Linked DNA regions of Cricetulus griseus. The protein of the gene in region 2 purifies or fractionates together with the protein of the main gene of each other region. This does not show direct contact. Links are inferred from orthologs where the notes say so. Each region holds a gene or a part of one and is shown on either strand. Other genes may lie near its edges.

What was found.
Region 1: the proteins of Cd40 (region 2) and Birc2 purify together in Homo sapiens (affinity purification with western blotting; 4 studies listed by BioGRID and IntAct, with this or other methods). This does not show direct contact. The link is inferred for Cricetulus griseus from reciprocal best matches to the Homo sapiens genes CD40 and BIRC2.

What each region holds. Positions count from the first base shown.
Region 1 is NC_048597.1:122,214,010-122,217,828, forward strand, and holds part of Birc2 (baculoviral IAP repeat-containing protein 2), read right to left. Parts: coding exon 3,312-3,819; intron 3,225-3,311; coding exon 3,125-3,224; intron 1-3,124. UniProt on the Homo sapiens protein: Multi-functional protein which regulates not only caspases and apoptosis, but also modulates inflammatory signaling and immunity, mitogenic kinase signaling, and cell proliferation, as well as cell invasion and metastasis.
Region 2 is NC_048599.1:14,351,421-14,355,180, forward strand, and holds the end of Cd40 (tumor necrosis factor receptor superfamily member 5), read right to left. Parts: intron 2,040-3,760; coding exon 1,950-2,039; intron 1,863-1,949; coding exon 1,831-1,862; intron 965-1,830; coding exon 776-964; 3' UTR 593-775; downstream 1-592.

The DNA.
Region 1 (3,819 bases), on a different chromosome or scaffold from region 2:
AGGAACCCATGCTCTGTAGCACCGAGCTGCAGAGCAGCCTGCATGTCAGAGCCTGTCCTATGTCCACTCTGCTCTTGTCCTAAGCCCCAGCCCTGCAGCTGCTCTGACACACCTGTGCTCCACATCTCCTCCAGCTGTTCAAGGTGAGTGTCTTCATCTCAGACACTCAACACATCACAGCAGCAGTCAGTGCTCTCTCCACACACTCACACAGATGGCTCTGTGACTGCTCTTCAGGCTCTCAATCATCAAGACAAACCAGGTAACACCAGTGCTACCGTCCCCTTCATTGTGAGAACACTCACAAGCCAGAACAGGTATAACAGGGGTCCCATTGGCCAGGGTGTTTCCCATGACAGGAAAGATCATAAGCTTTGATGCTGCCCAGACACTGAGAATCTCTAAAACCTTCACTAACAAGGATTTCAGCTAACAGAAGCTCCATGGAGACTATGAAACTGCACTTCCCAAGGAGTCTGGGCCTGCCATACCCCTGACAAGCCCAAACCCTCACACCCACCCACAGTTAAAGGTCTTTGCTCAACACAAAATCTAAGAAGCAGGATTACAAGTAACTAACAAATAAATAAAACAAAAACTCTAACAACAAAGGGAGACAAAAATTTTCCAAGAACCAATTCAAAAGAAGGAAGAGAAAGGTGTTTACAAACTGCTGTCAGATAAGCAAGTAATATTCATCTTCAGGGAGTGTGGTGAGTTTCAAGAGAACAAGACAGATACACAAGCTATAATGAAAGAATACAAAGAGCAATTCTTGAGAGCACAGGAAAGTACAAAATTTACAGGTGAAGACAAATACATAATCATCTTCAGACTTCTCCACATTGTAATGCAGAGTGTAAATAATTCAACTCTATCATAAAGGTAAAAAAAAAAACAAACACTGGGACTCAGGTAAAGTGCCTATCTACAATGCACAAAGCCCAGAATCAACCTTCAGTACTACCCCAGTCCATCACAGTGCTAAAAACAACTGTAACTACAATTGTAGTTATAACTGTCCTATTAAATAAAGGCAGTGTTAGAAATAACTATAGCTACAACTATAGTGACAACTATCCTAATAAAAACAGTATTAGAAATAACTGTAGCTACAATTATCATATGAAAAATAAACAATAGGCCAGGCGTTGGTGGCCCACGCCTTTAATCCCAGCACTCAGGAGGCAGAGGCAGGAGGATCTCTGTGAGTTCGAGGCCAGCCTGGTCTCCAGACCAAGTGCCAGGATAGGCTCCAAAGCTACACAGAGAAACCCTGTCTCGAAAAACCAAAAAAAGAAAGAAAGAAAGAAAGAAAGAAAGAAAGAAAGAAAGAAAGAAAGAAAGAAAGAAGATAAACAATAAATAAACTTAGAAGGATATAGTGACACCAAAGCCATGGTATGCTGGGAAGACAGAGGCAGTTTCTGTGCAGCTGAAATCATCAGTTTTCATAGCAGACTGCTTTAAGATGTGAGGGAGGCAATCCTCAGCTGAGGTCCCTCTTCCCAGGTGACCAGTGTGTCAATGACAGAAACCAATCAGCAGAATGGTTAAAGACATGTAGTATAGCAGTCCTGACTGCCCTCAGAGCGCAGCACACCTGAATCTGACAAATGAGTGAACTATATATACTAAAACCTAGTGATAATGACCATCTGTTAGTCTGTCTTTGCTGAGAGCAAACAGTCACAGCTGAAACCTGTTCTGAGCTGCACTGACAAAAACCATTCCTGTCTTCTCCCTTGGCATTTAAAACAGGGTGAAGAATTTTGTTTTACAAAGTATAGCAATTCAAATGTTAGAATTTAGAACGTTTTTGTCTTTTATATATAAGTTAAATTTCAAGTTACAACATATAAGCCCACAAGTATGGTTGTCATTTAAAATTCTGACATTTTCAACAGTGAAGACTAAATTCATACTAGCATTACTATGGAGAAATGTTGCTTTTTTTCAAACATGTTCTTAAAGATCAACCTCCAATAAGACCTACAACATTATGAAATCACTTGTCAAATTTGTTGCATTAAGAGAACCCTTGAAACAAACTCTGGGTGCCTTCAGAAATGCCTGCCACCAAGCCTGACGACCTGCATTCCATTCACAGAACCCACATGGTGAAAGAAGAGTTGTCCTATGACCTCCACTAGCAAATTGTGCTTTATTTTCCTTGGATAAGAATTTTTTTTTTGCTTACTGTTTTTTTCCAGATCGGGTCTGGCCAACTAGCTGAGTTGGTCTGGGGCTCACAATGTAGCCCAAGTTAACCTTGACCTCAGACTCCTTCTGCCTCAACCTGAGCTGACCTGAACTTGCTATGTAGACCAGTCTGGCCTCTGCTCACAGAGATTACATGCCTCTTCCACCTAAGTGCTGAGATTAAAGGCGTGTGGGCATGGGTGCACTCCCTACCCCATCATATACAATGGATTGATCCACTATAAACATTTCTACTTCCAAATTCCTTTTCATCATATATCACACAAAAATGACCAAAGGTCCCTGTAATTTCCTGAAGGAGGTCCAACAGATTTATCATTATTATGGAAGGCATGCACAAGTCCAAACTTTCTTCATTGTATGATTCCACTTACATGTGGTACCTAAAGTAAAAAATTCAGATATAGCAAGTAAAAGGCTGGTTGCCAGGGGTGGGGGGGATGCTTTCAAGTGTATGGGATACAGAGTTTCAGAGTGAGAAGATGAAAAGGCTCTGAACATGACTGTAAAACAGTACACATGCACTTTATGCTGCACAAGAATACATTTTAGAAGGCTAAATTGGTATATTTTTATGTATATTTTATCATGATAAAAACTCCTAACAGCCCATTTATTTTAGAAATTATGTCCAAGTTCACATAGTTAATTGGTTACAAATATACAATTTCTAATTCTATTTCACTAACAACTGTGCCCCTAAATTTATTTTAAGCAATAATAAAAATTAAGAGGTTAGGGATAGCCGGGCATCGGTGGCACATGCCTTTAATCCCAGCACTCAGGAGGCAGAGGCAGGCAGATTGCTGTTGAGTTCCAGGCCAGCCTGAGCTAGTTTCAGAACAGCCAGGGCTACACAGAAAGACCCTGTCTCAACAAAAACAATCAAAGAACCAATTACCTTGGAAACCATTTGGCATGTTCTACCCAGGGGTCATCTCCAGATTCCCAACACCTCAAGCCACCATCACAACAAAAGCATTTGACATCATCATTGCGATCTAAACAAGAAAAGAAGATGAGAAACTGACTCATGTATATTCCCATAAACAAAAAAGAGAAAGTTCTAGTCTCTGTTAACATCTTACCCACATAGTAAAATCCAGCACTTGCAAGCTGCTCAGGCTGAACAGGAACACTGGACGGCCAGCACAGAAACGTCCTCATTCGAGCAGTATGTGTCTGCATACTCAGATTTGATATACTAAACCTCTGCGTTTCTGAAGAATTTTCCAGAAATGGACAGTTGGGAAAATGTCTCCGATGCTCTGACATAGCGTCATCCTTCGGTTCCCAGTTGCTCAGTTTTCCACCACACGCAAAGCAGGCCACCCTGTCTCCAGGTCCCACATAGTAGAAGCCGGCTCTGGCCAGCTCAGCTGGTGACAGAAAGCTTAATGGCCACATACTGTAAGTAAGAAATCTGGCCTCTTCAGTAATCATGGCATAGCTGCAGGGATTGGTCCTTGATGACAAGTCTTCCACTGCTCTAGAATTGAGAGGATTTGAGGACAAGTTGGAGTGAGTACCCGCTCGTTCTGGAATAGGTAACGAATGTGCAAGCCCACTTCTCACAGGAGCTGTGTTCTTGGATGG
Region 2 (3,760 bases):
GTCTCTGAGTCCCTAATGCTAGGATTAAAGGCATGTGTCACCACCACCCAGTTAATGTTTGTTTTTGAGACGGTATCATGTAGGTCAGGCTAGCCTTCAATTCACTATGTATTCCAGGCTGGCCTGGAACTCCTGGTTCTCCTGCCTCTTCCTCCTGAGTGCTAGTATTACAGGCATGAACCACCATTCCCATCTTGGGGTATGCACATACACACTCATGCATGCATGAACATGGACCACAGAGTGCCTGTGGAGGTCAAATGTCAATCCTCTGGATTTGGTTGTCTCCTTTTACCATGTAGTCCCAGGGATAAAAATCAGGTGGCTAGCAATTTACCCACAAAAGCTATCTTACTTGCCTGGGTATGTGTTTTTAAAGGTTGTTTCTCTACCCACCATTCCACTACCTGTTTTTGTTTGTTTCAGTTGATAGTATTTCTGAGATCCTGTTGTATAAATACATTACAGATTTATTTAGCCAGTCCCCTGCTGATGGGCAATCAGGTGTCTTCTAACAGTACAAGCCACAAAGCCATAGACTGTGGTGTCCATGACTCCTGATAGTGAAAGCCACCAGGATACATCTCTGGGTCCTGTATTGCTGCACTCTCTGGATCCCTGATGCCCAAGCTTTTCCTCCATCTTTAAAAGCAAGACAAGGGATGGCAGCTGGGCAGGCGCGGCAGTTTTTGTTCCTTTCGAATCTCAAATGTCAGCCGCCATCCGAGCCAGGCCCTTGCCCTCGTGCCATCACCACTGCAACAGTTCCAAGATCTCAGACCAGGTGCTTCAAGTCCATGCTGTCCATCAGTTGTCTCTCCTGCACTGCTATGCGGCTCTCCTTGCCGTCCTCCTGTGCCACAGGCTGACTCCCAACCAATGTCTCCTGCACTGGAGCAGTGTTGTGGCCAAGACAATCTTCTGTCTCCGTAGGATCTCCCGTTTCAACAGCAGGGAGTGAGGCCTGGAGAGCCAGGGTGTGAGAGCCAAGGTCACCTCTAGGCATAGAGCCACCCTGTCCCTGAGGAGTAGAATCCTTCCTCCAAGTCCCTTCCCCTTGGGGGGGGGGTGATAATCAAAGCTGATTTCTCAGATACCTCCTGCCCCCTGCTGGACACATGAAATTTGGCAGGAAACTTCCAGAGTCAGAGTCAGCCAGCAGAAGAAGCTGCCCCTCTGGTTCCACCTTCTGGCCTCTAAAGGCTGGACTTCCCTATGTTCCAAGCCAAAGGAAAGCATGGGCAGGGTTGTTCTGCCAATGGTGCCTGGCTCCTCCCAGTGGGGAAGTGATTAGTTAGAGGACGGAATGAAGACCGTGATTCAGGGCAGGGTAGGGGTAAGAGTAGCCGACTGTCACCTTACTGGCCCCAGGGACAGACACTGAGCCTGTTCCCTTCCACCCACCCACCCATCCATCTCTCTCTGTCTCTCTGTCTCTGTCTCTGTCTCTCTCTCCCTCTGTGTGTGTGTGTGCTCGAGCACGCTCACGAGCACATGTGTGTACATATACATAAGGAGTGTGGTGTTGGACGTATGTACATGCACCCATGGAGACCAGAGGTCGATGTCACTCTCAACCTTATTTGCTAAGTCAGGGTTTCTTTCAGAACCTGGAGTACCTTGTGTCAGCTAGACTGGCTGGCTAGCAAGCTCTGCATGTCCACGTCCCCTGCCAGCCCTGACGTTACAGGCTTTTTTTCGTGGGTATTGGGTCTAAATTCAGGTTCCTGGGCTTGTGTAGCAAGCACTTTGCCCACTGAGTAGTCATCTGTCTCCCTGTGCCACGCATGAGTCTCCCAACCTGCCCACCAGTCACTCTTTCCAGCTTACCTTATTATCCTCTGGTTCCTTGACCACCTTTTCTAGAGAGAAAAAGAAGGGGTGAGGCTTTGGGAGGGCTGGTTCTGCATCCCTGAGTCCTCCCCCTCTTCCCTCACAGGGGCACTCACTGATACAGAAAGACACCGCTATGAAGATGGTGATGAGGACGGCCATCACAATGGGAATGACCAGCAGGGCTCGCGTCCGGGACTGCACACCTGCAGAGACAGACTTGAGTGGAGCCACTGGCAGATGCTCCCACTCCTTGTCCAAAGCAACTGCGTCTTCCAGCATCTGGACCTCCTGAGGCTGTCAGAGCTTTCAAGCAGCAGCATTGTGGGTAATGTTGCATCAGGGGATCTTTTTAAATGCTTCTGTGGTATTTGCCAATGGTTATGAACTGAGAGATGGCGTATTTGTGGGGGGACAGCGGATGTGGGTGTGGCATATGTGCAGGTGTGTGCATTCAGAGGCTGTCCTGCTCTGTCACGTCACCTTCTACTGAGCCAGGGTCTCTCACTGAGCCTGGAGCTAGTCTGTCAGCCAACAAGCTACAGCAGTTCTCCTTCTTGTTGCATTGGGGTCACAGTCACCCCAATGCCTAGTTCATGCTTGCACAATAAACACTCTTACCATCTCTCTAGCCCTGGGAGATTTCAGTTGGGAGGATCACACACACACACCCCAGTCAGCCAACTTCCCACCTGGCTTTCACCAGCTTTGTGGTGAAGGGAAAGCCTGCCTGCCTGTTTCTCACACCCCCTGCTCTCTTCCCTAGCTGCGGCTGTTCAGCTCTTGTGTCTACATTGTTAACATCTGCTATGGAAGTGTGGAGCAGAGAAATAAAGTATCTCTTGTGTCTACATTGCTATTCCAAGTGACAAAAAAAGACCAAAAGGCAGGAGGCATCAGAAGCAAGGGGTGTAACCACTTCCCCATAACAAGGAGACAAAAAAATTGAATCCTCTTTGAGACAGGGTCTCACTAATCGGCTCAGGCTGACCTTGAACTTGGGGTTCTCAAGCATCAGCCCCCTGAGTACTGGGACTGTAGACCTGTACCACCACACCCACCTGATAGATAGGGATGCAAACACCAACAGCACAAACACTGGCCCATAGGCGGCTACACGGCTTTTAAATAAACTTGTATTGGAACCAGAGTCAAAATCAGGATGATGTAAGCAGGATCCACACATCTGGCAAGGCCAGCTCCTACTCGATTTTAAAATTTGCTCTTTTGTTTATCGCAGGTTTTTGTTGTTTTTTTTTCTAGCATAATATCAAAATGTTTTTTCTCTTGCTTGCTGTCCTTTTACAATAGTTTATTGCATGTCACAGATGACCTGTGCTTCTGTCACCCATTCCAGTCACATCTTCCCAAGAGAACAAAGTCAATCTCGAGAAAAAGCCAAGAGATTGTATCTTTATTTTCCTTTCCCTTTTTGGCATTGGGGATCTAACCTAGGACCTCACACATGCTAGACTTGTGTGGGGGTCTAATCCAGGACCTCACATACACTAGTGTGTGGGTCTAACCCAGGACTTCACACCTGCTAGATTAGTGTGTGGGTCTAACCCAGGACCTCACACATGCCAGACAAGTGTGGGAACCTGGGTCATCAGGCTTGCACAAGAGCTTAGCTTAATGAGCCGTCTCAGTAGCCCTCTTTTTACTTTCTATGTTGAGACAATGTGTTCCCAAACTTCCCAGGCTAGGCTTGAACTTGCAAAATTCTTGCCTCAGATTCCTAAGTAGCTGTGCTGACAGGCCCACTCCCCAGACCCAGCTCTCTTACCCCTCTCTTTACTCATTCAGTGACAACCTAGTCCCTGAATCTGAGGTCGTGATCCAAGCCTCTTGTCAAGCTTCTCATCCTAGCATCCAAACCAAGGCTAACAGGTGACAGTGTCACAGTGCACCCACACCTCAATTGAGG